4 linked regions of the Saccharomyces cerevisiae S288C genome follow. The gene in region 3 interacts genetically with the main gene of each other region. Each region holds a gene or a part of one and is shown on either strand. Other genes may lie near its edges.

What was found.
Region 1: of LOG1 (region 3) and HAM1, changing one suppresses a phenotype caused by changing the other (phenotypic suppression), as found in Saccharomyces cerevisiae (2 studies listed by BioGRID).
Region 2: of LOG1 (region 3) and URA3, extra expression of one rescues a mutant of the other (dosage rescue), as found in Saccharomyces cerevisiae (one study listed by BioGRID).
Region 4: of LOG1 (region 3) and CPA2, changing one suppresses a phenotype caused by changing the other (phenotypic suppression), as found in Saccharomyces cerevisiae (one study listed by BioGRID).

The regions. Positions count from the first base shown.
Region 1 is NC_001142.9:564,247-571,325, forward strand, and holds HAM1 (nucleoside triphosphate pyrophosphohydrolase HAM1), read right to left. Parts: upstream 5,154-7,079; coding exon 4,560-5,153; downstream 1-4,559. Other genes in the region: phosphatidylinositol kinase-related protein kinase TOR1, read left to right, coding at 1-2,582; YAE1 (Yae1p), read right to left, coding at 2,773-3,198; RFC2 (replication factor C subunit 2), read left to right, coding at 3,397-4,458; LIA1 (deoxyhypusine monooxygenase), read right to left, coding at 5,375-6,352; GTPase NPA3, read right to left, coding at 6,721-7,079. UniProt on the Saccharomyces cerevisiae protein: Pyrophosphatase that hydrolyzes the non-canonical purine nucleotides inosine triphosphate (ITP), deoxyinosine triphosphate (dITP) as well as 2'-deoxy-N-6-hydroxylaminopurine triphosphate (dHAPTP) and 5-bromodeoxyuridine 5'-triphosphate (BrdUTP) to their respective monophosphate derivatives.
Region 2 is NC_001137.3:112,063-119,186, reverse strand, and holds URA3 (orotidine-5'-phosphate decarboxylase), read right to left. Parts: upstream 3,021-7,124; coding exon 2,217-3,020; downstream 1-2,216. Other genes in the region: PXP1 (putative indolepyruvate decarboxylase family protein), read left to right, coding at 1-570; protein transporter TIM9, read right to left, coding at 1,713-1,976; Arf family guanine nucleotide exchange factor GEA2, read right to left, coding at 3,387-7,124.
Region 3 is NC_001142.9:328,543-335,383, reverse strand, and holds LOG1 (Log1p), read right to left. Parts: upstream 2,028-6,841; coding exon 1,290-2,027; downstream 1-1,289. Other genes in the region: Tim22-complex subunit TIM54, read right to left, coding at 1-1,119; ZAP1 (Zap1p), read left to right, coding at 2,311-4,953; protein kinase IKS1, read left to right, coding at 5,263-6,841.
Region 4 is NC_001142.9:626,103-635,840, forward strand, and holds CPA2 (carbamoyl-phosphate synthase (glutamine-hydrolyzing) CPA2), read right to left. Parts: upstream 6,840-9,738; coding exon 3,483-6,839; downstream 1-3,482. Other genes in the region: ECM27 (Ecm27p), read left to right, coding at 1-913; LIH1 (putative lipase), read left to right, coding at 1,238-2,224; YJR107C-A (uncharacterized protein), read right to left, coding at 2,355-2,591; ABM1 (Abm1p), read left to right, coding at 2,610-2,981; phosphatidylinositol-3-phosphatase YMR1, read left to right, coding at 7,513-9,579. UniProt on the Saccharomyces cerevisiae protein: Large subunit of the arginine-specific carbamoyl phosphate synthase (CPSase).

The sequences.
Region 1 (7,079 bases), 240 kb from region 3:
GCAGAAAATCTGGTAGAATGAGGCTAGCAAATAAGGCATTGAATATGCTACTAGAAGGAGGCAACGATCCTAGTTTACCAAATACGTTCAAAGCTCCTCCCCCAGTTGTTTACGCGCAACTAAAATATATTTGGGCTACAGGAGCTTATAAAGAAGCATTAAACCACTTGATAGGATTTACATCCAGGTTAGCGCATGATCTTGGTTTGGATCCGAATAATATGATCGCGCAAAGTGTCAAACTCTCAAGTGCAAGTACTGCTCCGTATGTTGAGGAATACACAAAATTATTAGCTCGATGTTTTTTAAAGCAAGGTGAGTGGAGAATAGCAACACAACCGAACTGGAGAAACACAAATCCGGATGCAATTCTTGGTTCTTATCTATTGGCTACACATTTCGATAAAAATTGGTACAAGGCATGGCATAATTGGGCCTTAGCTAATTTTGAAGTAATATCCATGGTTCAGGAAGAGACTAAGCTCAACGGAGGTAAGAATGATGATGATGATGACACGGCAGTTAATAATGATAATGTGCGGATTGACGGTAGTATCCTAGGAAGTGGTTCTTTGACTATTAATGGCAACAGATACCCGCTAGAGCTTATTCAAAGACATGTTGTTCCAGCGATCAAGGGCTTTTTTCATTCAATATCTCTATTAGAAACAAGTTGTTTGCAAGACACGTTGAGGTTATTGACTCTTTTATTTAACTTTGGTGGTATTAAAGAAGTCTCACAAGCCATGTATGAAGGCTTCAATTTGATGAAAATAGAGAACTGGCTTGAAGTCTTACCACAGTTGATCTCTCGTATACATCAGCCAGATCCTACGGTGAGTAATTCCCTTTTGTCGTTGCTTTCTGATTTAGGGAAAGCTCATCCACAAGCTCTCGTGTATCCTTTAACTGTCGCGATCAAGTCTGAATCTGTTTCAAGACAAAAAGCGGCTCTTTCAATAATAGAGAAAATTAGGATTCATAGTCCAGTCCTGGTAAACCAGGCAGAATTAGTTAGTCACGAGTTGATCAGAGTAGCCGTTCTATGGCACGAATTATGGTATGAAGGACTGGAAGATGCGAGCCGCCAATTTTTCGTTGAACATAACATAGAAAAAATGTTTTCTACTTTAGAACCTTTACATAAACACTTAGGCAATGAGCCTCAAACGTTAAGTGAGGTATCGTTTCAGAAATCATTTGGTAGAGATTTGAACGATGCCTACGAATGGTTGAATAACTACAAAAAGTCAAAAGACATCAATAATTTGAACCAAGCTTGGGATATTTATTATAACGTCTTCAGAAAAATAACACGTCAAATACCACAGTTACAAACCTTAGACTTACAGCATGTTTCTCCCCAGCTTCTGGCTACTCATGATCTCGAATTGGCTGTTCCTGGGACATATTTCCCAGGAAAACCTACCATTAGAATAGCGAAGTTTGAGCCATTATTTTCTGTGATCTCTTCGAAGCAAAGGCCAAGAAAATTCTCCATCAAGGGTAGCGACGGTAAAGATTATAAATACGTTTTAAAGGGACATGAAGATATAAGACAAGATAGCCTTGTTATGCAATTATTTGGTCTAGTTAACACTTTGTTGAAGAATGATTCAGAGTGTTTCAAGAGACATTTGGATATCCAACAATACCCGGCTATTCCATTGTCGCCTAAATCTGGTTTACTAGGATGGGTACCAAATAGTGACACATTCCACGTTTTGATCAGAGAACACCGTGATGCCAAAAAAATTCCGTTGAACATTGAACATTGGGTTATGTTACAAATGGCCCCCGATTATGAGAATTTGACTCTTTTACAAAAAATTGAAGTATTCACGTACGCTTTAGATAATACAAAAGGCCAAGACCTTTATAAAATATTATGGTTAAAGAGTAGGTCGTCAGAGACATGGCTAGAACGTAGAACAACTTATACGAGATCTTTAGCAGTTATGTCCATGACTGGTTATATTCTGGGACTAGGTGATCGCCATCCAAGCAACCTGATGCTAGATAGAATCACCGGTAAAGTTATCCACATTGATTTCGGCGATTGTTTTGAAGCTGCCATCTTAAGAGAAAAGTATCCAGAAAAAGTGCCATTTAGACTAACTAGGATGTTAACATACGCAATGGAAGTTAGTGGAATTGAAGGCAGTTTCCGAATTACTTGTGAAAATGTCATGAGAGTCTTAAGAGATAATAAAGAATCATTAATGGCGATCTTGGAAGCTTTTGCGCTTGATCCTTTGATCCATTGGGGATTTGATTTACCGCCACAAAAACTTACTGAGCAAACTGGAATTCCTTTGCCGTTGATTAATCCTAGTGAATTATTAAGGAAGGGGGCAATTACTGTCGAAGAAGCGGCAAATATGGAAGCAGAACAACAAAATGAGACCAAAAACGCCAGAGCAATGCTTGTTTTGAGACGTATTACAGATAAATTAACGGGCAATGATATCAAGAGGTTCAATGAATTAGACGTCCCTGAGCAGGTTGATAAACTGATCCAACAAGCCACTTCTATTGAAAGGTTATGTCAACATTATATTGGATGGTGCCCATTCTGGTGACTGCGGTGTCATTTTTCATTTCGTGCTTTGTTTACTATTTATTTTTTTTGTATTACGCATTTGTATACGTGTGCAAGTATTGTGTATTATTATTATTATTATCATTATTTTTGTAATATCTCGTCATTATGTGAAATGAAGGATGATATAAGGTACATAAATTGTGAAATCAACTCCATTTAAAACAACTTTATTGGATAGATGGCACATGGTACTTTTCACAATAGGTATTGGCAATATCAGTCCATTTTGTTATGAGCGGATGTTTTTCTTGCAAGTCAAAGTTTGGATCAAATATGGACTTACTAAGTACTTTGTTAATGCGTAATTCTTTTTGAGCATCAATATATGCCTTACTGAGGTCCTCATCTTCATCACCAAAACGTGTTCGTAGGCCAAGTAAAATCCCCATAATTATGCCAACTTGTTTCCCTAATTTAGCGCCCGTTGGGAAACCATCATTGAAACCCTCTTGCAGCTTTTCTTCTTTAGAACTCACTATTCCGTCCAAGTACCCCCTCTTGCTATGATTCTCTCTTAACTTCACTAAATCTGGAGATCGTTCAGTTTCGACATCACTGTCTGATGCCCATACATCGTCCCAAGTATTCGACATCTCTATATACTATTGTAACACTGTTCCTTTTTTGTTCTCTTCTATCAAAAACCTTTCTCATCGTTATTTTTCACTCTTTTACTTCGCGTATTTCAAAGCAATCAGGAAGTAACTCAAGCGAACAAGTCAATGCTATAAGAGAAGTAAAATAGAGAGACAGCGAGAAATACTGGGGGAAAGTATTGGCAATCACTTGAGATGTTTGAAGGGTTTGGTCCAAATAAAAAGCGTAAGATATCAAAGTTAGCCGCAGAGCAATCATTGGCACAACAACCCTGGGTTGAGAAATACAGGCCCAAAAACCTAGATGAAGTGACAGCTCAAGATCATGCCGTTACTGTTTTGAAGAAAACCTTAAAGTCAGCTAATCTACCACATATGTTGTTTTATGGTCCCCCAGGAACTGGTAAAACGTCTACCATTTTAGCGCTAACAAAAGAATTATATGGACCCGACTTGATGAAATCAAGAATATTGGAGTTGAACGCTTCTGACGAACGTGGTATCTCTATTGTAAGAGAAAAGGTAAAAAATTTTGCAAGATTGACTGTATCCAAGCCTAGCAAACATGACTTGGAGAACTATCCGTGCCCACCGTATAAGATCATTATTCTCGATGAGGCCGATTCAATGACTGCCGATGCACAGAGTGCATTACGTAGAACAATGGAAACCTATTCAGGAGTAACAAGATTCTGTTTGATTTGTAATTATGTGACAAGAATTATTGACCCGCTAGCGTCCCGTTGTTCCAAATTTAGATTCAAAGCCCTAGACGCAAGTAATGCCATTGACCGTTTGAGGTTTATCAGCGAACAAGAAAATGTTAAATGTGATGATGGAGTTTTGGAAAGGATCTTGGACATTTCGGCAGGTGACTTGAGAAGAGGCATTACATTATTACAATCCGCTTCCAAGGGGGCGCAATACTTGGGTGATGGTAAAAACATAACTTCTACCCAAGTGGAAGAATTAGCTGGTGTGGTACCTCATGACATTCTAATAGAAATTGTTGAAAAAGTCAAAAGTGGTGATTTTGATGAGATTAAGAAATACGTCAATACGTTTATGAAAAGCGGTTGGTCTGCTGCGTCAGTAGTTAACCAACTACATGAATATTACATCACCAACGATAACTTTGATACGAACTTCAAAAATCAAATATCTTGGTTGCTGTTTACTACGGATTCCAGATTAAACAACGGAACGAACGAGCACATCCAATTATTAAACTTATTGGTTAAAATATCCCAACTCTAATATACAGGCATCTTTATATAATTGAATATAGAGGCGACATAAAGTAAGAATAAAAAAAAAAAAATCTATCCATAATTCCTCTTATCTTCTCAGCACATCACCTAAAAGTCATTTTGATACAAGTACTCTTTAAACTGAGCGAAGGCTTTACCACGATGAGAAATAGCATTCTTTGCGTCTTTGCTCATCTCTGCGTAAGTCAGTCCATGACTATCAAAAGGTTCAAAAATTGAATCCCAGCCGAATGTAGTGGGTCCCCGGCTTGGAACGATCTTGCCTCTTGTAATACCTTGAAAGAAGTGATATTCACCCCGAGAATCAGCAAAACAAATGGTGGTAACTGCTTCAGCGTTTTTATTTTCAAAGGGTTCCAACATTTTCACAATTTTTTCCAATCCCATGCTCTTTAAAAACCATTTTATATAAGCACCTGGTAGACCGTTAAATTCGTCAAATCTCAACGCAGTGTCTTCCACAAACACTGGCTTACCCTTACCCAAGGCCGCAACAGCTTGCTTTCCCTTAGCTAACGCAATGGCATTCAGATCCGTGTCCTGCAATTCTTCCAGGTCTAAGGCCTCATTGATTAAGTGGATGGTTTTGTTGTTGTTGTCGACCTCTTGAGTCAAAATCGACTGCACTTCCTTTAACTTGTTGGCATTGCCAGTGACAAATACAATTTCGTTGTTGCTCATTCTGCTATCGTTCGTTTTTAGATATCTCTATGTGAGTGTTTCCTATGCTTTGAAGACCAGTGTTGAAAGCTGAAGCTCGAGAGAACGGTTTCGAAAATAAATAATTTTTTTGCTATTTGATACATTTGTATATATAACGGAAATGGCGGGTTTTGAAAAGTATAAAATACAAGATTATACAATGATTATTGTTACTATCATTATTGATGATGCTGATTCTTCTAATTAGCAGTTGGAGCATATTCTAGTTCGTTGCTGTTTTCGTAATCATACATATCTAGCGCAACGATACAAGATTCTCTGACGACATCGACTTCATCGTTGAGGTAAGATTTCAAGACGTCGACAACTTCTGGAGAAGCAATGGCACCCAAGGCTTCAGCAGCTTCATGCCTAACCATTGGAGCTTCTTCCTTTCTGCCCAAAACTTCAATCAAACTTGGGACAGCAGCCGGACTACCTATTTGACCGAAGACGTAGGCGATTTCATGCTTGAAAAGGGAGGATTCTGCACTGAAACCAGTGGCCAAGGCCAGGATTGCTTCATCAGTACCGATATCTCTCAGTCTGAACATGGCTCTGTATCTTTGGAACAAAGGTTGCTTAGGATCATTCAATAAGGCCTGTAGTTCTGGGATGGTAGCATCCTTTTCTAATGGTAGAGGTGGGGCTGGGTCAATACTCGAGTATAGGGATTGTTGCAAGTTTTCCTTATCCTTGGCACCTCCATGGGTCCAGTTGATTCTGTTAATGGCCAGTTCACAGGTTTCTCTCACAGCAACGTGTGGATCCTCCTTAGCAGCCTTATTTAGGTCATCCAACGAATCCTTGTCACCTAGGGCACCCAAAGCCTCAGCGGCTTCGTGTCTCACCATTGGTTCTTGATTTTGATCTAACATAACGTGTCTTAAAGTTGGAGCAGCGTCCAAGTTCTTGGTTTGACCCAACACGTAGGCCACTTCGTGCTTCAACAACTCAGACTTGTCATTGACGAAGGATTCGGCAATGTATTCGATGGCCTTTTTGGCTTCCTCTGGCTTAGTGGCAAATTCTTCAGCAACAGTCTTTAAGTTGAACAGAGCTCTAAATCTGTTGGCCAAAACTGTTTTGCCGGACTTGTTGACTAAGATGTCCCTTAGTTGCTCTAGAGTGCATTCATCGACGTTTTCTTGGAAATGTTTTTCAAAGTTAGTAGACATGTTTTTTTTTTTCTTTCTTGCGTGGTATGTTAGAAGGACTACAGTTTATCCTAACCTAAACCTAGAGCTACCGTCAAATATACACGTGTATTCACTGGATTTGCCTTATGTAATTTATATGATAAAAACTTTTCAGCTCATCGAGAAAAATTTTCTTTCCTCCCACGCAGGATAGAGAAAAAAAAAAAATTTTTTTTTTTTCTTGTTTCTCACTGCATTCTACAGGGATTTCTGTGGAAGGATTACCTCTATTGTTCAAAAGATAATAAACGTGGGAGTTTATCTGACGTTCGTCTTTGCAATTCCATTGTCTTTTTTTTTCTCTGCGGGTCGAATGATCGCCGAACCAAAGGACTATACGTAGTTATTTAGTTTCTAATATACTTCGCGATATTTTCTGCAGTCTCGCTACTGGCCGTTTTCCCTACTTGTTGCATAGCTTCCTGATATCTCCTTTGTAGGTCTGGAGCAGAGTTCTCGTTGACCTCACCTTTTGTTCTTTCTTCGCCTGGGAACGTGTATTCTCTCTCAACGCCTTCGTCCTCATCCCTATCCACAAGACCATCATTGGCATCCTCTTCGAGGTCGCTAATGGCATCTATGCTGTCGTTGTCGCTGGCTGCAGCGCTGCTCTTCTCGTTTAACCCTAGATCCTTCATCAGGCCATTCAATGATTTTTGCTTTCTCATCTCTTCCTTTTTCTTTTTTAGGTTCAATGCTTTTTCAC
Region 2 (7,124 bases), on a different chromosome or scaffold from region 3:
AACCAGGTTTATGGAACATTGAGGCCTCTTATCGATGATTACAGGACAATACTTGTGACGGAGGGAGCAAATACTATGGATATTGCGCGTATTTCATTCCCTACAGACGCTCCAAGGCGCCGTTTAGACGCAGGGACCAACGCGACTATGGGGATTGGGCTCGGATATGCTCTTGCATGCAAGGCATCTCATCCGGAACTCGATGTGGTGCTGATTCAGGGTGATTCCGCATTTGGATTCTCTGCCATGGAAATTGAAACGGCAGTAAGGTGTCAGCTGGCATTGGTCATCGTTGTGATGAACAATAGCGGTATTTACCATGGAGAAAAGGATATAGAGGGTGATTTACCTCCAACGGCACTAAGCAAGAACTGCCGTTACGATCTCGTAGGCAAAGGACTGGGTGCCAATGATTTTTTTGTCAACACAATAAGCGAACTGAGCAGATGCTTCCAACAAGCCGTGCAGCTTTCTCGGACTAAAAGAGAAACAAGTGTCATCAACGTTATCATTGAGCCTGGCGAACAAAAGCAAATTGCCTTTGCCTGGCAGAATAAACCGCGTTTATAGTAAATATGCATGTATATATATATATATATATATATATATGTTCATCTCTCTTATAGATGTCAATCTAAATACTTACAACACACATTAATGAATACCTCGTATACGTTTAAGGGCAAATGTACTCTCGCAGAAGGAAATATTGCAAGTAACTTGGATAACTAAAGCCGAGTTAAAGATCTGCCAATTGAACATAACATGGTAGTTACATATACTAGTAATATGGTTCGGCACACATTAAAAGTATAAAAACTATCTGAATTACGAATTACATATATTGGTCATAAAAATCAATCAATCATCGTGTGTTTTATATGTCTCTTATCTAAGTATAAGAATATCCATAGTTAATATTCACTTACGCTACCTTTTAACCTGTAATCATTGTCAACAGGATATGTTAACGACCCACATTGATAAACGCTAGTATTTCTTTTTCCTCTTCTTATTGGCCGGCTGTCTCTATACTCCCCTATAGTCTGTTTCTTTTCGTTTCGATTGTTTTACGTTTGAGGCCTCGTGGCGCACATGGTACGCTGTGGTGCTCGCGGCTGGGAACGAAACTCTGGGAGCTGCGATTGGCAGTGGAACAGTGGTAATTCCTACGATTAAGAAACCTGTTTACAGAAGGATCCCCACCTATGGGCGGGTTATCAGATATTATCAGGTGGGAAATTCGGTGGAACACAGTGGAGCCTTGTCCTCCGGGTTAATGTCGCTTTTGGCATTGGCCCCTGCTCCTGAGAGAAGAAATATACTGGGGAACCAGTCTTTACCGACCGTTGTTATCAGAAATTCACGGAGTTCGGCCTAGGTCGGACTCCGATGGGAACGGCAACGGTTGTTCCGTTTGACTTGTCGCCCGCTACGGCGTGAGCGTCAAGGTCTGTTGAGTGCAATCGTAGGACGTCATTAGTGGCGAACCCGATACCGATTACTGCTGCTGTTCCAGCCCATATCCAACTTCCAATTTAATCTTTCTTTTTTAATTTTCACTTATTTGCGATACAGAAAGAAAAAAGCGATAGTAACTATTGAATTTTGTTTGGATTTGGTTAGATTAGATATGGTTTCTCTTTATATTTACATGCTAAAAATGGGCTACACCAGAGATACATAATTAGATATATATACGCCAGTACACCTTATCGGCCCAAGCCTTGTCCCAAGGCAGCGTTTTGTTCTTGGAAACGCTGCCCTACACGTTCGCTATGCTTCAAGAACTTTTCTGAGCACTTCATGATGCATGTTTGTTCCTTATTGGTTAGCTTTGATGTTGTGAAGTCATTGACACAGTCTGTGAAACATCTTTCTACCAGATTAGAGTACAAACGCATGAAATCCTTCATTTGCTTTTGTTCCACTACTTTTTGGAACTCTTGTTGTTCTTTGGAGTTCAATGCGTCCATCTTTACAGTCCTGTCTTATTGTTCTTGATTTGTGCCCCGTAAAATACTGTTACTTGGTTCTGGCGAGGTATTGGATAGTTCCTTTTTATAAAGGCCATGAAGCTTTTTCTTTCCAATTTTTTTTTTTTCGTCATTATAGAAATCATTACGACCGAGATTCCCGGGTAATAACTGATATAATTAAATTGAAGCTCTAATTTGTGAGTTTAGTATACATGCATTTACTTATAATACAGTTTTTTAGTTTTGCTGGCCGCATCTTCTCAAATATGCTTCCCAGCCTGCTTTTCTGTAACGTTCACCCTCTACCTTAGCATCCCTTCCCTTTGCAAATAGTCCTCTTCCAACAATAATAATGTCAGATCCTGTAGAGACCACATCATCCACGGTTCTATACTGTTGACCCAATGCGTCTCCCTTGTCATCTAAACCCACACCGGGTGTCATAATCAACCAATCGTAACCTTCATCTCTTCCACCCATGTCTCTTTGAGCAATAAAGCCGATAACAAAATCTTTGTCGCTCTTCGCAATGTCAACAGTACCCTTAGTATATTCTCCAGTAGCTAGGGAGCCCTTGCATGACAATTCTGCTAACATCAAAAGGCCTCTAGGTTCCTTTGTTACTTCTTCCGCCGCCTGCTTCAAACCGCTAACAATACCTGGGCCCACCACACCGTGTGCATTCGTAATGTCTGCCCATTCTGCTATTCTGTATACACCCGCAGAGTACTGCAATTTGACTGTATTACCAATGTCAGCAAATTTTCTGTCTTCGAAGAGTAAAAAATTGTACTTGGCGGATAATGCCTTTAGCGGCTTAACTGTGCCCTCCATGGAAAAATCAGTCAAGATATCCACATGTGTTTTTAGTAAACAAATTTTGGGACCTAATGCTTCAACTAACTCCAGTAATTCCTTGGTGGTACGAACATCCAATGAAGCACACAAGTTTGTTTGCTTTTCGTGCATGATATTAAATAGCTTGGCAGCAACAGGACTAGGATGAGTAGCAGCACGTTCCTTATATGTAGCTTTCGACATGATTTATCTTCGTTTCCTGCAGGTTTTTGTTCTGTGCAGTTGGGTTAAGAATACTGGGCAATTTCATGTTTCTTCAACACCACATATGCGTATATATACCAATCTAAGTCTGTGCTCCTTCCTTCGTTCTTCCTTCTGCTCGGAGATTACCGAATCAAAAAAATTTCAAAGAAACCGGAATCAAAAAAAAGAACAAAAAAAAAAAAGATGAATTGAAAAGCTTTATGGACCCTGAAACCACAGCCACATTAACCTTCTTTGATGGTCAAAACTTATCCTTCACCATAAATATGCCTCGCAAAAAAGGTAATTAACATATATAGAATTACATTATTTATGAAATATCATCACTATCTCTTAGCATCTTTAATCCTTTTCTACATCAGATAACTTCGGTTTGTTATCATCGTCTGTATTGTCATCAATTGGCGCAGTAGCCTCAATTTCAACGTCGTTTGACTCTGGTGTTTGTTCATGTGCAGATCCATGAGATGATGAACCGTTGCCCTTCTCAATACTCTTCTTATCAAGTATTAATTGCTGTAGCTTTTTTTCAATATCTGAGTCCTCTACAAATTTATTGAAAATACTCAAAATTTTCAAAAACGTTTCGTTGCTTGTCTTCCCTAGTTTCAAATAATGCAAATAAACATTTGAAATTATTGTTAATATGGATGAAATGAGGATTTTCTGGTCTTCCTGTGTTTCACTCGAATTTAGCAACGGTAGTAATCCGCCCTCAATTAATTCTTCTACCGATTCCATCTCATTAGTTGGAATTTCGATTTTATTGATGAGCGTCTGCTCTAGCGTTACCACTGCAAATTCACTTATCTGCTTACACGGATTGATGCATTGATGTGCCAAAGCTTGAATAATAGCGAATATCTCGTTTTTACGCAGATCGTTATTATCTTCCAGCAAGTGTGATGTTAGTTGAATGGATTTCAATGATAATTCGATCGATTTCTTGTATGGATTCTCCTTATCAATTTTATGACCACTTTCTGTCAATTTCTTGTATTCTATTTCCCAGTGATTTCCAACGGCACCCATTGATGAAATTTCATCTAATAGTCCTAGGACCCACATGAAGTTCTCATTTGTCAAAATATTGCTGTCTGTCTTGATCGATTCATTTAAATATTCAAAAATGCTCTCGCTCTGCTCTTTCATTGCTGTAACTTTTCTTAAAAATTTCCAAAAATTCTCATTTCCTAGTAAAAATCCTCTATAAAACTCTGATTCGGTCAATGAAAATAGTCTCTTCAAAAATTCCTTACCTTGATTAGTTGCAAAAAATTTTTGGGTAAAAATATCCCCCTTTTTTAACAGCTCATCGTTTATTAATTTGGACAAGTACTCCGTCTGATCCGCACATAACGAAATTAACAAAATTTTGTATGTTAGCATTCTACGAACAGTCCTTTTCGTGAGGCCTTTCGTGTGAGAAAGTTGGAAAACTTTTTGAAGTATGAACTTTCCTAATTCTTTCTCCTCTTTGCAAAATAGAAATAATGCAATAGTCAATTCGATGATAAATAAAAGTTCTGCTTCAAAATACCTGGAATTATCTGCGTTTTTCTCAGTTTTGGCGGAGTCTAGTAAAGTTTTTATTAAATCCGCTGTTATATTTGATTCATTTCCAAAGACAGAGGCGGCAATATTACTCGACTTTATGCACTCCATCGCTTTTTTTGAGGATTTGATTTCCTCTTCTGTGGGTTCTTCATCACCTTTTAAATAAGAAGCAAATGTTGATAAGAGACCTTTGCTTTCTTTGCTCTTGTTAATAGAAATTTCAGGAGATGGCTTAGGCAAGTTGCTTAATTTCAGTCTTTTTTGTAAATCAGGGAAAATATCAGGAGACAAAATCAAGTCTTCGTACAATGTTAGTATAATATTAACAATGTTTAACCATAATTCCTTGGAGAAAATTTTAGGATCTTTGTTCCTGCGAATAATCCGGAAAAAAACAACTGTATTTAGTTGACCCTTAAATGATCTACCAAATCTAACAGCATCTGTACTAACCGGGATCTCAGTGTTAGTGTCTTCGAATTTAATTTGCACCAGTGGCATTGGGCCATATTCAAAAGCTAAAGTTGAAAGTTCATCGTCATGGCTTGAATTAATCAAAGTAGTGCCCTTAGCAATGGAGTTTAGTATATCATTAAAGAGATCTTTGAAGTCAAAAAATGCGGAAATATAGGAACATTTGTCCAAACTTGTTATCATTCTGGTAGATATATGGTCATCAGATGCAACTACGTAAATGTTGAATAAAGTACTGACAATACTTGGGCCAACTTGTTTAAAAATTGCTCTATCAAAGTTCAAAAGCTCCAAGGGTGTTAATTTATCCATGACAGATTGTGTGTCTTTTTTTATTTCAGTTATAACAGTAGTTGAAGATATCAAGTTATTCCAAGCATCTTCAAACCACTTTTCGTTGCCGTGGTGCTCTTCAGGCATAACAATTTCTTTATCTCTGATTGAACAGTAAATTCTATCCAAATACCAGAATGGGAAGTCTTTGTGATTACAGCATCCCTTTAAGTTACCAGAGTAATCTTCAAATGACATGTGTTCCTTCACTTGAGGGTTATGTAGGTCAGTGTTCAACATAATAATTGAATAACTTAAAATGAAAACAGAATCAGCGTCTGGTTGAACAGTAGAAATGTCATCCTCCGCGTTGTCACTGATTTTGGATGGATCGTAATCTTGATTTTCACAATACGCAGACGAGAAGGCTTCGATGATTCTTTCAATTTGTTGCGATTCACCAGGCAACCTAAATTTCGTCAACAAAATTCTAATAGCTTCATCGACCCTTAACCCTGAAAAATCAAACAAACGAATATATTCATTCAACAAGCTTACTTTGTCCGGATGGCAAAGTAGCAAACCGATTGTTTTTTTATTCATACGGTTGTTATTATTGAAAAGAAACTCCGCAATATCTTTATCGGAGTCGGAAGCAATGAAACCTTTTTCTATTAACATCGGAATACCCTTTTTGGGCTTTTCATTGAATGCATTGGTACATTCAATAAACTCTGTTTTACGGTCCCTCTTTTTTAAGATTTCCATTTCATTCTTTTGCCTGCCAAATTCTTCTCTGTCAATGTCCTTCATGTGATCGAACATATCATCGACTAGGGAGACCAATCCCTCAAGGCAAATGGGTGGTACACTTTCTGTGGTAGTTAAGGCGGATTCTGGTAAGGCCAATTTAGTCAAAGCCTTCAAAAAGTTTATGGAAACGTCTGCCCTATCGAGATTACAATCGAAATTGATAAAAGTAGAAGTAAAAAAAGATGGCGACCTAGTCCATAAGATGGATATTTGCTCAATTAGAAGTTCCTTTATTATTGATGGCTTGTTCTTATTTTCAGAACTCGAGTTATTTGCGGTACCATCATCTAAAAGAATAGAAAATATTCTTGTTAGAGTGAGCTCGATCTGTAATTGTAAGTTGTTGCCCAATATAACAACTAGAGTAGTAAATAGCTGCAATGTAGCTTGAAGTAGTGATAATTTTGTAGTGTTCTGTATGATAAACAAAATGCTTTTGAAAATAGGATCTGATATCAGTGTAAAAAGCCGTGGGTATAGCTGCAATCGATCACCTGAAATTTCTAATGCCGTTTGAATTAACTCTAGGCCAAATATTCTAGTGGAGTATGAATGTTTTAATTCATTTTCTGGCGCAATCAATGATAGTAATAAGTTTAAATATTGCCTAACCACGGGCAATCCATAGTTATCATCAGCATACGCTTGGATCCTGGAATTTGATCTTGTTGTTTTTTGCACAATATCTAGTTGTTCGGCGCCATTTGTGCTCTTCTCTGAATGAATATGCTCTTCTTCAATGCCATCGTCCTCGCTAATAGCTTCCTCATTATTCACTTTCATGCCGATGGGATCTTCTTGACTTCCTTCTTCTTTGGATTCTACATTTGTGCCAATTGTATCGGCCTTCAATACATCATTTGTGTAACTTTCATCATTGATGTATATTTGATTCACATTAACAGGCTCAATAGTCTTTAGTTTTGAGAAAATCTTTACGGTAACGGCTATCATTGTTGATTG
Region 3 (6,841 bases):
GACCAATAACGGCTGATTAATCAGAAGCGGGATATTTGTATTGGGGTTTCTTATGAATTCGCCATTTGGAGTTTGTAATTCCGAAGCGATTTGCAGGTCAGGGTATTGGTCTGAAGAAATAAATGGCTTCAAAAATTTTTGCGAATCCTCTGAGCTGTTTTCTTCATCAACCTTTAGATCATCTTGTACTTTGGCCTCTTCCAAAGCAGTCTCTTTCTCGGCATCCACCAGTTCCGTAGCACCGGATTCACTTACCTTTGATTCTATTTGATTTGCTTCTACAACCCCAGTCATCTTAGGCTCAGTGGATCCTGTTTTTTCGGTCTTCTCGATGGGTCCAAGCAAGCCTTCGTGAATACCGGCAATGTACTCCTTATAGGCGCCTCTACCTAAACAAATAACACCACCAGATAATATAGGGTCCTTTGTCAGGGCGTCTTCACTTATTATATGCTTCGGTTTTGGCATTGTATAGAAGATACCTATAACGTTTCTCCAGTCGAAGTTCTCCTTGAACTTTTTACCGATTTCTGGATCAAACGAGTCATCTTCTTCAGCAGGATCTTGAATGATTTTATTGAACGGTAGTAGTGATGAAATTTTACTGGTTGAAGAACCACTTGGTTTTGCTACCGTTTGGTTAGGCTCTTTAACTGGCTGCCCATCCGTCGATGCCAATATTTCCTTTCTCAATTCTCTGATTCTGTTGGCTACATTAGTTCTAATAATCCCTTGCCTATCCTCTTGAACTAATTCATAGTCCAACCCTGCATAATACAGTACAGGCTTAACATATCGTCTCCAAACTTTCAACGAACTCTCCAGATAATCATTTGGAGGAGGTGCAATAAAAACAGTGATCTTTCGTGGCACTTTGTCTACCTCCATGGACTCCTCTGCCAAAGGCTTCACCAAGTCTGTTGCATGGCTCAGAATCTGACGTTGCTTGTATTTGTCATAGGCTATGCCACCGATGGATACTGTTAACACAGACCAAAAGATCATCCAGTTTCGAGAAGGCAGCCTCAAGGCGGGTATACCAAGGGCTTTTAAAGCCGGATTGGTATAGCCAGGCTTCCTAATAGGCTTAGCAATAGGCTTTCCTGATTCAGAAGACATGGTCTATTGAGCTTCTTTTGAGAACAATGGACTTTAAAGCTATGATGTCTTTGCCATCAGTACTATTTTTTCCAGCCTTCGGGCTTAGAAAGACAGCTCCTAAAAATTTGGATTTTTCACCACATTATCTATACAGATCGTTTAAACTAGATACATGACTTACGTTTCTATTATTTAGCACAATCCTCGTGAGCGTGACCTTCGTCGCTCCAATTCAAATTGAAACGGCCCTCTGGAACGACGTACTTCTCTATTTTATCAACAACTTCCTGCGGAGTGGAGGCAACTTGAATGATTTCACCATTCTTCACACTGATGAACCGTTCTTGAATAGAGTGTTTGAGGAACTCCAATAATTTGTCATAGAACCCATCGATATTGAACAAGATAATTGGTTTATTATGAATCCCCAGTTGCGACCACGTGATACATTCCATGATTTCTTCAAAAGTCCCGTATCCACCAGGCATAGCAACAAACGCGTCACTCAAATTTGCCATCATTCTTTTTCTCGTATGCATATCTGGTACAATCGTTGTTTCCCCATACTCTTCAGAAATAGGAGTGGCGCCCTTATGATTTTCTACAGACTCCAACAATGCTTTATTAACATCTTCTTTATCCTCGTCTGTCCTTTCCTTAGACACAAGTGCATTTGGAATGATACCGTGAACCTGTCCGCTTAAATCAGGTCCCATCGTAGACCTTGCTATCTTGCCCATCAAACCAGTAGTGCCTCCACCGTATACCAATTTCCATCCCAGCTTATGGAAAAGGGCTCCTAATTCTTCTGCACTTTCTGAGTATAGCGCCTTAGCGCCAAATGAAGACCCGCAGTAAACACACACAGACTTGCCGCCTACTTGGCCACCACGGCTGCTATTACCTCCATTTTTTTCCATTGTCATCGCCGTTTCTTAGTACTGGATTGCCTGCGATTTACTCTAGGGATCTTCCTATTCAACTGTTGGAAATAATTCTCCTTCCTTAAACGCCCAAAACATGATTATATATCACTGCAGACGGAGTAGTTGACAGCAGTCATCTACCCTAAAGGTCATGATGAAACGTGCTTGGCAATATAAGATGCAACTGCAGTCACTGTGAATATAGGCCAGCGGCGAGACGGAAGCATTACACTTTTACTTTTTATGTGTTACGGTTTTTTAAATAGAAGAAGGATAGGAACTAATGGATGCGTTGACTCCCAGGGACTCCCCCAAGCGCGATGACTCGATGGCCACGAGTGCGGCCACTGCTGCTTCTGCCAAGCCTGATGCTCTGACGATAGGTAAAGAAGGCATTGTCCACGGGCACATCCATAACTACAACAACCTGACCTATATCCATGGTCACCTTCACCACAGCGCGCCTGTGAACGACAGTAGTGCTTCGGCAACACCTGCAGCCGCAGCTGTTGCTGATGCCGCTACTTCCGCATTTGCATCTGGAGCTAGCCATGATATGGGTGGTGATTGCCACGTCAATGAGAAATGCAAGGAGTACACCGACTGCCAACATTTCGAGTTCTTGAATTATCACAATAATCCGTCATTAACAAAATATAATGATACTGCAACGTATAATTCTAATAATCATTCTTTTGCAAACAATTTCCATTCGGTAGCTTCTGATCCGACAAGTCCCCAACAGAATTCTAAAAGCGACCTACCACGTAGAAAAGATTCTTGGTTTAACGACGATCTGATACTGCTGCCCTCTTCCAAGAAAAATAAACCGAACCCACCACCTGGATCCGATGATTGTTATTGTACGCCCAAGATTTTGGAAATATGTTGTGACGAAACTCATCCCAAAAGTGAGGCTAATATAAAACAAGGTGAATCTGATCAACCGACAAAGAAAGACATATCTGAGAACGGCAATGATGTTGCAATATTCACAGATGTAAAGAACGATCACTTGATGCCAAATTTTAACCTTCATGATCAGTACTGTAATAGTACCAATCACGACTCTCACAATCACAATAATACTGTACCAGATAGCTTTTCTCAGCTGATGTCTCACTTATCGGAGATTGATTGCGATTTGACCTGTGACACCCCATGCACGGCTAGCACGAGCGCGACTAGTGGTCACAAGTTTGTTCAAGATCATCAATCATCAAATAATGATGACGTTTTCCATAAATACTGCAAATTTTGTGAGGAGAGCACTGATAATCAACCTTGTTCTAAGCATATGCATTTAGAGTCAAAGCCACCTCAACTACCACCCAAATGTTCATCTTTACGAAAACCTACAAACACTTTGCAAGGTACAAATCATGCTTATCACGAACATATCTTAAATACTGATATGGATTTGAAGATTTTGGAAGATTTATGCAATATTTCTTCTTTGTATGAAGTACCGTTTGGAAAACACATTAACCACCACGACCACAATAATGCCGGTAACGGCTGCGATGGTTCGAGCACAGGAAATAATGAAAACGGTAACCAAACAATGAATCTTCTATTATCAAGCATTAATAGATGCAACCCTAAAAATAATCTTAATGGAAGCAATAACAATACGGCTGGAGCAACTTCAACTGATCATCAACACCATCACCATAGAATACAGTTTCATTCTCACAAACCAAATAGAAACAATATTGTGAACAATTCAGGGATTAGCGCGGCGAACACAACAGCCGATCTAACTAACAACGATTTAAATGACTTAATTTCAAGAGAGTATAGTTATGAAAGATTTAGAAATCAAAGTGAGCCCCCTTCGCTACCCAAAGTCACTCATCAGAATCAGAAAAATCGTAGATCTTGGCCTACAAAAGATCTAGAATCTACTGATTTCAGCTCTTTGGAAGACTCATTACCTTCTAGCATCTCTCCTCCTATACAGACAACAAGCACTATAAATTTCAACTGGTGTTTTAAAGAAGAGAAAAACAATGACTTAAAATGCAAATGGAAAGAATGTCCTGAGTCTTGTAGCTCACTATTTGACCTACAAAGACATCTTTTGAAGGATCATGTCTCTCAAGATTTCAAACACCCTATGGAACCATTAGCTTGTAATTGGGAGGACTGTGATTTCCTTGGAGATGATACATGTTCCATAGTGAACCATATTAATTGTCAACATGGTATCAATTTTGATATTCAATTTGCCAACCCAGACTCATTTTTGCCTGGTAGTATATCAAAGGAAAAACATCACTTACTACATTGCCCCAACCCACAAACACACGAAGTTTCTAAAGCAGATGGAGCACCTGATATGACGTCTGCAAATGATGTTTCCAATATACCGCCAATCAAGCAGCCGGAACAGGTGATTTGCCAATGGGATGGTTGCAATAAGTCATTTTCCAGTGCTCAGGAATTAAACGACCATTTAGAAGCAGTACATTTAACCCGGGGTAAGTCTGAATACCAATGCTTGTGGCATGACTGCCATCGTACGTTCCCCCAAAGACAAAAATTAATCCGTCATTTAAAAGTGCATTCGAAATACAAACCTTATAAGTGCAAGACATGTAAAAGGTGTTTTTCAAGCGAAGAAACTTTAGTTCAGCATACCAGGACACACTCTGGCGAAAAACCTTACAAATGTCACATTTGTAATAAAAAATTCGCGATTTCAAGTTCTTTGAAGATTCATATAAGAACCCATACTGGTGAAAAACCTTTACAATGCAAGATTTGTGGTAAGAGATTCAACGAATCGTCAAATTTGAGCAAACATATTAAGACCCATCAGAAAAAATACAAGTGCTCTGACTGTTCCAAAAGCTTTGACGATTTGGGAAAATTGAACTCACAGAAAGTGAAATGCGCATTGGAAAGAAAACCATATTTATAAATGTGATCATCATGGTCCAACGTAAGAAGGGCGGTTTTCAGGATCACATAAATGCATAATTAGAAACATTTCATATTTTACCTAGACTACTTTTTATTTATAATTTTTCGCAAACTCTTTTTTGTAAGCTTTTACAGTACACTTTTTTTACGTAATAACGTATTTCAAGCTTTATTTTTTGTATACGTTTCAGAAAAGGGGGTGGGGGGGAAGGACATTGTATATATAGATCCTATGAGTGACAACTAGGTAACCGAAGAAACACTATTAGATATATAGTTTGAGGGATAGCATAAGTAGAACTTAGAAATGAGTTTAGTACCATATGAAGAAGGTTCGCTGATTTTAGATGATCCTAATTCTAAATCAGTGGTGGTTGTTAATCCAACCTCAGGAACTTTATCATTTTTCCAACAGGACAACAGTAATAATGACTCTGAACTAAATGAAGACCAGACTGCATCTTTATCAGCACTGGACTTTCCTTCAGGGATTCATCAATACAAAAGCCCTATTGCTTCCTATGTGTGCCCGCAATGTGGTACGGAAATTAACCCTGATATTATAAACAGAAGACAACTTCATCGTCGAGCCTCTGCTGGAGTAGAATCAGAAAGCAGTAGGCTCAGTATTCCAGAGAACACTGTGCCACTTGGATTTGAATTTGCCAATTCAAGCTTTTCAAGAAGATATTTTCAGTCATTGGAAAGAAATCATCGGCACTACGCCCTACAAAACGATAGTAACAATAAGCAGGGACAGTTCAGCAAAAACAAATACTTTATTCCAGATGATTTGTTTATCCCCGGATACTTTCGTAAATTTTTCAAAATATTGTCTTTGCTGGGAAATGGTGCAAGAGGTTCTGTTTACAAAGTTGTACACACAATTGGTAATACTGAATTAGGTGTTTTTGCACTAAAAAAAATACCTATTGGAAATGATATGGAATGGTTTAATAAGTGCATACGGGAAGTGAAAGCGTTGAGTTCGCTAACTCACAAAAGTGCCAATTTGATTACGTATAATCATGTGTGGCTCGAAATGGATTCTTCGGTTGGATTTGTCAGATCCATTGATGGGAGCCAATCGGATTCACAAGAAGAAGTTCCTTGTATTTTCATTTTACAACAGTATTGCAGTGGCGGCAATTTAGAAGACTGTATTCTAAGAAAAGTGTTCAATAGGTTCTCAGATACCGAATCACCTGAAGAGAGGAAAAAAAAATTTAGAACTCGCAAGAAAAATCACGGTAAATCAGGAGAAGTTGGCCTATCTACGGAACAGCTCGTATCCATTATAAGGGATATTGCAAGAGGTTTACACGAACTGCACAGTATTGGCCTAATACATAGGGACTTGAAACCATCCAACTGTTTATTATTGACTCCATTTAAAAGTGACAATGAGAATGACAACGTATACGACAGGGAACACAATTCAGATGAGTTTTTCCCATCAATTGTTATTGGCGATTTGGGGGAAAGTCAGTTGGAAGGAGAGTCCAGATTGGGTACTGGTTGCACAGGAACATTAGAGTTTACAGCACCAGACCTTATTATCCAGGGGAGACCAGTTTCTTCTTCTACGTTGCCTTCAAGATCGAGTCACACATACAATGAATACACCTTTGCTTCCGATATGTATTCTCTAGGAATGATTTGCTATTTTATTGTCTTCGGTGAATTGCCCTTTGAACCACAGTTGGATATAGTTGATTTGAAGGTACGCATCAAAAATTTTAGGTTCGACACTGAAGGTATGATTGAAAAGCATCAAGCGATGAAATTGAAACCAATAGACCGTAGAATATTTCACCTAATGGACGCTCTTTTACAACCAAATAATGATGCTAGACCCACAGCGAAGACAGTGGAGGAGACGTTAG
Region 4 (9,738 bases), 300 kb from region 3:
AGATATTTTGAGTTATGATCCCACTTTGAACAGATACTCTTTAACAACGTTACCCATAATTTTATTATTTATCCAATCAATTACTGCACCCTTCCTCCTTTGCAGTATACTTTCTGTGCTTTTGACATATCATCTAGGCTATCTCGTTTACCTTTTCCCTCTTATATTAGCTATGGCCTTAATTTTACTATTGACGGCTTTTATTACAAAGGTAAATCTGCATAACAAGTTTACTCTGTCATTAGACAGCTCTAACATTTTACAGGAAAAGCTACAAAAAAGAAAACTCCTCGAAAGGCTTAACACAAGCATCCAAATAATTTTTCTAGCTATCGGCATAATAAATATCATAATTTGGATATCACTTTTAGCCAATTCTCTTATTGAGATGATGGAAATTTACCAAAAAATATTAGGATTATCGAAAGCTATTTTGGGCCTTACCATTTTCGCATGGGGCAACTCAGTAGGAGACTTGATCTCCAACATATCTATGTGCAGGCTCTACAAAACCCAAACTCACTACCAAGACAGAGTTCGTTTAGCCACAAAATTTTTTATGATATCATGCGCATCTTGCTTAGGAGGCGTAATGCTGAATTCTATGGGTGGAATAGGCTTTAGTGGGCTAGTATCAATGCTTTTTATTGGCGCTTTTAATGATAACGAATGGTGGTTCCTAAGAAAGGTTAAATTACAAGAAACAAGTCAATTGGATAATACATTAAATTACAAATTCATAGTTTCTTGCGTCTTCATTATCCTACAGATTATTCTCTTGCTGTTATTCTTCGGAGGGCCTAACAATATTAAACGGCGCCTCACAAAGGAGATGAAGTTAGTCGGAATCTCTATGTGCGGACTATGGGCACTAGCCACGTTGATTAATATACTTCTAGAACTGTTTAGCTAAAGCTTGCAAGAGTGCCTCCCGAAAAATTTGTTTTTGTGACATTTATCTGGCGCCGTAACAGATCCGCGCAGAACACAGAACACCAAGAAAAGAAGTACTATTTAATTTCAAGATTACTTAGACTCCGTCATTCAAATCGCCCTTTTATTCAAACAAAAATGGGCCATATATTCTTTCTGTCTCAACCTTCGTTTCCTTGGATGAATTATTTTGATTGAGCTCCAAAAAAAAAGTTGTAGCCAGGAACTATCCAAAACTTCGATTGAGAAACCCATAACAATGATGCCTGCCAGACTTTTCATACTATATCTTTTTGTAGTACTCATGCCTGTTGTTCATTGTTCGTCCAACCTGCCCATCACTCCATATATCTATGAGCGTCTAGTATATTTTATTAAGGCAAGCTCTATATCAAGCTGCATATCTGACAACTTACTTCTTGTTAATAAAACCTTCAACGACGGAGGTTGTCCACCACATATTAACTTCTGCAATGATGAGATAATTAACCCAACAGCGGGTCAAACAGTGGTTGAATTAGTTCTTAATGCAAAAAAAGGTGAATTAGGCTCGGGTTATCTGGCTGTTGACCACGGAAAAAAGGTTGTTATTTTAGCATTTAGAGGATCCACAACAAGACAAGATTGGTTTAGTGATTTTGAAATATATCCTGTTAACTATTCTCCCCTTTGCGTTAAGGAATATCGTAAGCTTATAGAGGAAGGAAAAATCAGAGAATGTGAAGGTTGTAAAATGCATAGAGGATTTCTAAGGTTCACAGAAACTCTCGGGATGGACGTCTTTAAAAAAATGGAGTCGATTCTGGAAAGCTTTCCGGAATATAGGATCGTTGTCACTGGGCACTCCTTGGGGGCAGCATTAGCAAGTTTGGCTGGGATTGAATTAAAGATAAGAGGCTTTGATCCGTTAGTGCTGACATTCGCAACACCAAAGATATTTAACAGTGAAATGAAACAATGGGTAGACGAGTTATTTGAAACAGATGCTATAGAAAAGGAGTCAATTCTTAAAGATGAAATTCAATTTCGTAAGGGCTATTTTAGGGTTGTGCATACAGGTGATTATATTCCTATGGTTCCACCATTCTATCATCCGGCTGGTTTAGAGATGTTTATTAACAAAGTTGGTCTACCTCAGAATGCGGAAGATATTGAATACCGTGGTAAAAATAACAGGTTAACTTTAAAGGATGGATTTCGAGAGGGTATGAGCGGTTTGGTTGAAGACTGGTTACATGTCTATGAACATCGAGCCTACTTCATTGACGTAGTGGGATGTTCTGGACTTTAACATTCACCCACTTTTACGTTTTTGTCTATAACTAGCATATATAATACCGCTCTAGAGTTACTCTAAACTAAATGCGACCACTATTCTTAACTAATAATTGTTCTTTTTACAAATAACTCTTTCAAAACTTCTAATCTTTTCTCTTACGTTTTCCATTTATCTGCTCTTCTTCTGAAACTCTTTTTCCTGCATTGGCCCTCTCTTTGTTACATGAAAGAGGTTTTAGGGTTGGTAATATTTCTGGTTGTAAACTTCTTGAATACACTTGGGTAGCTAACTGCTTATTCCAGTTCTCCTGGCCACTAATCCCGGCTACGCTTTTGTTGAAATAGTATTCTTCTACAGCATCATAGCTATCATCACACATGTCTACTAGTTTCCACGTATGTCTTGGAGGTACTCTATCTTGACCGTAGATGGAAGCTTTAAAATTTTCATCCCTTGGGAAATATTCCTCACGTGGAATTTTTTGAGCGCTGCATGGCTAAATTCTACCGAATCCAATACGTATATCCACTACTCAACATGTTGGGGCACAAGTGATTACACACTTAATATCTCTGTCATAGAAGCTACTACAGAGAAATTGGTTGACACTAGATTATTAACAACACTCGAGAATGCAACCGCTTGGATTAACTCAAACTCTATTGATGAAGACGAAGATGATATGCCTCATGCCACTAACGTAGCAGACCGGCTTGATGGGTTATCCCTTAGCAAGCGCGTATATAGCATCTGTCACTACGAATTTTAGTGCGGATTCTCTCCGTAGCGTAAACGTTCTCTATACATCATCTACCCATGTTGCTCCACCTAGCAGAACATTTCAGAAAGAAAGAAGTCCAAGTAATGGCCAACAACCAGAAGGACAGCTTTTTTTATGAAGGCCCCCTACTGCATATTCATTAAGCTTAAGCTTGATCGGTGAAAAATGCTATAATCTACGTGTACTGGTCACATTGTTGCACATCTCAATTAATCAACGCTCTATTATTATACGGAAGATATAAAGGCATAGTAAATACACTTGCCTGAGGTATTGATTGATGAATTATTTTCCACGGCCCATGCGTTACTCACTTCGAAAATACATTTGAATTTTAGTGATAAGTTTTGCGATCTACTTTTGTTCAAGATAATAATACTGGGGTAGAATATACACTAAGAAGTCTCTTTGAAATTAAAAATATCTCTAAAAAAATCCATTATATAATATACAGTAATACAATTAGAGGCAGGTTTTTCTTTTGCACAATCAATATGCTTTGAAACCAATAAATTCATCCCAGGAACGGACTTCTGGTGGAACTATAACGTCATGAGATTCCAAAATTTTGATCTTTTCTGCAATTTTTGCCTTCAAACACTTTGCAAATAACAAAGCCGTTTGAGGTTCATTGAACAATGGGATAGCAAAATCAATAGCATTCCTTCTCATAATATAGTCAACATCGTCAGTGCTCTCAGCTCTCTTGGAGGCTAAATTGAAAACAGCTTTTATGTCATATTCTTGAAATAGTTCACGCAATTTTCTCTTATCATTCTTTGGAAATTTAATCAAAGAAACCTTTGCGTTCTTTTCTTTGATGTGTTCCTGTAGATACGTTTTAGTGGTCTCATTAGTTGTGTATATTCTGTAACCAATAGTGGCCACTATGGAAGCCACTTGGCCCAAGTATTCTCGAGATGTATCACCTCCAAATAATATACCACTTGGAGGTAGTGGTACATGGAAGTTCATGGTACTTTGAATAGCAGTCCAATAGCTTTCAATTAAATCTCTACCAAATGAAGCAACTTCACCAGTTGATGCCATTTCAACCCCTAAGAAAGGATCTGCACCAGCCAACCTTGTAAAGGAAAATTGAGGAACTTTAGTAGCAACATAGTCGTACTTTTTGTTGAGCATCAAATCAACAGGTTTTGGTACAATGTCACCGCCCAAAAATGCCTTGACAGCAATTTCAATAAAATTAACGCCTAAAACTTTTGAAACGAATGGAAATGATCTAGAAGCTCTAATGTTACATTCAATCACTTTCAATGTATGCTCCCCATCCTTGATGATTTGCATATTGAAGGGGCCAGTGATCTTCCAAGCTTTTGCGACCTTATCAGCAATGTCTTTTAGGGCAATCTTCACATCGTCAGAAAGATGTTGTGGCGGTAAGACTAAAGAAGCATCACCGGAGTGCACACCCGCATTTTCAACATGCTCGGAAATGGCATGTACCAAGACATTACCATTATAAGCAACGGCGTCCACATCAATTTCTTGAGCACCTTCAATAAATTTAGACATGACGACTGGGTGGTCTGGAGAAACGTCAGATGCCAAAGTTAATTTAGCCTTCAGTTCCTCCTCATTATTAACAACACTCATTGCCGCACCGGAAAGAACATATGAGGGACGAATCAACACAGGGTAGTTAACTTTAGAAGCAAATAATTTTGCTTCTTCTACTGATGTTAATTCACTCCATTCAGGTTGGTCAACATCAATAGAATCCAAAATAGATGAGAATTTGTGTCTGTTCTCAGCTCTATCAATATCGTTTGGATTGGTACCCATTATATTACAGCCGTTATCGTAAAGTTTCAAGGCAATGTTTTGAGGTAATTGACCACCGACAGAAATAATGCAACCCTCAGATTGCTCCAACTCATAAATGTCCATCACTCTTTCATACGATAATTCTTCAAAGTATAATCTATCAACTTCATCGAAATCTGTGGAAACTGTTTCTGGGTTATAATTTATCATGATAGTTTTCTTGCCTTGATCTCTTAATGTCTTCGCGGTGTTCACGGCACACCAATCAAATTCTACAGATGAACCAATACGATAGACACCAGAGCCTAAAACCAGCATACCATTTTCGTTGAACTCCACATCGTTCTTTGTAGCATTGTAAGTGGTATACAAATAATTGGTTTGTGCTGGAAATTCTGCGGCCAAAGTATCGATTCTCTTGACAAAAGGGATTATACCTAACGTTTTTCTTAAACTTCTGATTTCCAGTTCGTTAATGTTTGTGGAGGCGTGTTTATTTATAGTAACCGCAATCTGCTTATCTGAAAACCCTAATTTCTTGGCTCTCTGCAAGAGATCTTTACTCAAGTCACTTAAAGATTTAACTGATTCAAGCTCTTTATAGATATTAACAATGTTCATGCACTTGTAAAGAAACCATTTATCAATTTTACTCAATTCATTAACTCTCTCAACAGTATAGTTTTCATGGATTAAGGCCTGACCAATGGCAAGGACTCTTCTATCAGTTGGAGTTCTCAAGGCTTCATCAAGTTGATCGCCGAATTCAGTAGAACCTTGGAATCCCAATAATGATGGATCCACCTGTCTTAATGCTTTTTGAAAGGCTTCTTCATAGTTTCTACCAATAGCCATAACTTCTCCAACTGATTTCATAGAGGAACCAATGGATCTGTCCACGTATTGGAACTTAGAAAGATCCCACTTAGGTATTTTTGCCACAATATAATCCAAAGATGGCTCAAAGTTAGCCACTGTAGTTTTTGTGATTGGGTTTGGCAATTCTGGCAAAGTATAGCCTAGCCCAATTTTGGCGGCAGTGTATGCTAAGGGATAACCAGTGGCCTTAGACGCCAATGCAGAGGAACGAGATAAACGTGCGTTCACTTCAATAACTCTATAGTCTAGCCCATCAGGTTGCAAAGCGTATTGGACATTACATTCACCAATAACACCAAGGTGTCTAATGATTTTAATTGCGGCGGATCTTAACATATGAAACTCTTCATCTGATAGGGTCTGCGAAGGAGCAAAAACCATAGAATCACCAGTATGAACACCAAGTGGGTCGAAATTTTCCATATTACATACTGTAATACAGTTACCAACCCTATCTCTGACCACTTCATATTCAACTTCTTTCCAACCTTTCAAAGATTTTTCAACAAGAATTTGTGGGGCCAACGACAAGGACTGTGCGGCAAGTTCCTTCATTTCACTTGCATTGTTAGCGAAACCTGAGCCTAACCCACCCAAAGCGTATGCAGATCTGACAATAACTGGGTATTTGACCCTTTCAGCAGCCTCCAAAGCTTCATCCACGGTTTCACAAGCAAATGATTCTGCGATGGGAATGTTGATATCCTTTAACGCAGATGCGAAAAGATCCCTATCTTCAGAAGTGATCAAAGTTTTGATAGGAGTACCTAAAACTTTGACGTTGTATTTAGCCAAAACACCAGATTCATCCAGAGCCACCCCACAATTTAGACCTGTTTGACCACCGAAGGTTAAAAGTATAGCATCCGGCCTTTCAAGTTCAATGATATATGTGATGTATTCTGGTGTAACGGGCAAGTAATAAATCTTGTCCGCCAGGGAATGAGAAGTCTGGTTAGTAGCGATATTTGGGTTAACCAATATAGTAAACTTGTTATCTTCCTTCAGAGCTTTGATAGCTTGAGAACCACTGTAATCGAATTCACCAGCTTGACCAATAGAGAGCCCTCCTGATCCAATGACAAGTACAGAATTTACTCCTTCAACTAATTGAGGTTTGTAGTCCTCGGTAGTAAAAGCAGAATTCGTAGGCTCTGTTGATGTATAAATCGATGTCATTCTTTTCTTCCTGTCTATGTACTGTATTGCTCTTCCTTTATAGAACTAATTTTAACTATAGATGTTAGTTTTTCGATGCTTAAACTTAAATAGCGCTTCAAAAAAGAGATAAGGCATACTATAGAAGACGTATTAGTAATTATATATATACAAATAGCATGGCAGAAATGCTTATGACGGAAAAAAAAAGATTGGATTTTCTCGATGCTTACTCAAGGTGACACAATCGTTACGACATGGAGGTTCCTATCTCTGATATTCAAAAGTTATTGCCATCTCATCAATAAGAGTCATTCACAATAATCTATAGAATGCCGCAGGAAAGAAGACAGTGGTGGATGAGTCATTTTCTCAACCCTAGTTTACAATCTGAATGTTTAGGGGATTTACTATTTTTAATTAGGACATTTGAATATTTCTGATAGGGTAAAATCACTTTTTAGGGTTTCTGATTTTCTATTTTCCTCATTTTTCACAATAATAACAATGTTGCCATTCTTTTATCACTACCCTAAATGTACCAAATATTAGTAAGAAAAGAAACATTATAAAGAAAAGGAGGTTTTACAAGGGTCACTTGGTGAGATTAGGTCGTCGTTATTATTTTTATTTTGTGGGCGGGGTGTAATAGTGCTAAAAAGAGGGAAAAGAAATAGTATACCATTCCGCAAAGATGGAGTACATCAAGATTGCCAAAGTATCTAATGTAGTGCTGCATAGAAGAGGTACGGCCACACAAGGTACTTTACATTTGACTACTCACCATTTGATCTTTGAGTCACCACAATTGTCGACGGAATTTTGGTTTCCATATCCTTTGATCTATGGAGTGCATAAAAACCCGGGTAGTACATTACTGTCCAAGTTGACTTCCACTAATCAAATCCAATTGGAGGGAACGGATTCACAGAATTACAAGCTTTACCAGGGTAAGGATCTATGGTCTTTTGTAAATATCAAGGTAATTGGGAAAGATTATGCGGTATTCTCATTGGATTTCGGTGGTGATTTACATCTACAGGCAAGAAAGGTGTATGATTCCATCTTAAATTTGACGGTCCTGTCCAATATCACGCAACTATATGCATTTATTTACATATCCAACAATCTGGAAAGGAAACTACCTTCACCCGATAGCTGGGATATATATGACCCAATTAAGGAATTTCGAAGGCAGGGCCTCGACAGTAAAGATGAAACATGTCCTTGGAGGCTATCCACGGTAAACGAACACTATGAATTTTGTCCAACGTATCCCTCAAAACTTTTTGTACCAAGATCCACGTCAGATATATTATTGAAGCATGCTTCGAAGTTTAGATCACAGAAAAGAATTCCTGTTTTAACTTATCATCACAAGGCAACAGATTGCAACATTCTTAGGTCATCTCAACCATTACCGGGGTTGATCAATCAGAGGTCCATTCAAGATGAAAAATTAGTTTGGGAAAGCTTCAACTCATTTTGTAATAAAGATATTAGAAGAACGAAACATGTAATAGTAGATGCCAGACCCAGAACAAATGCATTAGCACAGATGGCGTTGGGTGGCGGGACAGAAAATATGGATAATTATAATTTTTTTTTAGCTGATAACAATATGGGTGTCGATAAAAGTCTAAAACTGCCCACAGTTACACGGTTATTTCTTGGTATAGATAACATTCATATTGTTTCCAACACAGCTGCATACATGACGGAAGTTATCTGCCAAGGTGGCGATTTGAATTTACCACTGGAACAGAATTTAATTAGGAGTCAAAAATTTTCCAATTGGTTGAAGTTGAACACTCTTATTTTAAAATCCGTTGATATGCTTTTAAAGTCCATCATTTTCAATCATTCCAACGTTTTGGTTCATTGTTCTGACGGTTGGGACAGAACCAGTCAAGTTGTATCACTATTAGAAATTTGTTTGGATCCTTTCTATAGAACTTTTGAAGGTTTTATGATCCTAGTGGAAAAAGATTGGTGCTCTTTTGGTCACCGGTTTTTGGAAAGAAGTGGTCATTTAAACTCTGATATTAGATTTCATGATAACACTATGCATTCCAACTTCAACGATGTGGATACCAATGGCGATGATCTTGACATAGGTGTTAACACTCAAGACGATTATGCTGAAGATGATGAAGGAGGTGAAGATGAGACGAATTTAATTAATTTGAGTAGAATTTCCAAAAAATTTAACGAAAACTTTAAATTGAACAAGAAAAGTCTAAAGTTCGTCTCCCCAGTTTTCCAACAATTTTTAGACTGTGTATACCAACTTTTGACGCAAAACCCAGATCTATTTGAATTCAACGAAAGATTTTTAAGAAGACTAGTTTACCACTTGTATTCATGCCAATATGGAACATTCCTTTCCAATAGCGAGAAGGAGAAATTTCAACAGAATTTGCCAAACAAGACTAAAAGTGTCTGGGACTACTTCAGATCTAGAAGAAAGCAGTTCATAAATCCAAATTTCATACAGAGAAAAAGAAGCGGCATGAATGAGCACGATCAAAACCTTGAAGAGGAAGAAAAAGTGGAGTGGATTTCGCCGGATCTGAAGAAAGTCCAATGGTGGTGGCAGTTATATGGAAGAAAAGATTCAGAAATGAATGATGAATTACGCCATAAACGAGACTCAGTACCCATATCGGTGGATAAAAAGAGTAAAGAGCATAGTAATTCCGATGGCGGTAAGGGTTTAAATTTGTCAATTTTTGGATTTGATATGTTTAATAGAAAGTGATCTGGTTAACGGCAAAGAAGACAAATAAGTGAGTTAGTATTTTGCATACAATGATAGAAGTATAGAAAAGTTCAAGCATTTCTCCGTTGTTAGTATACATATATATATATTAATTTTAATGAATAAGGGTACATATATTATGAGCATAACGAGTGGCCG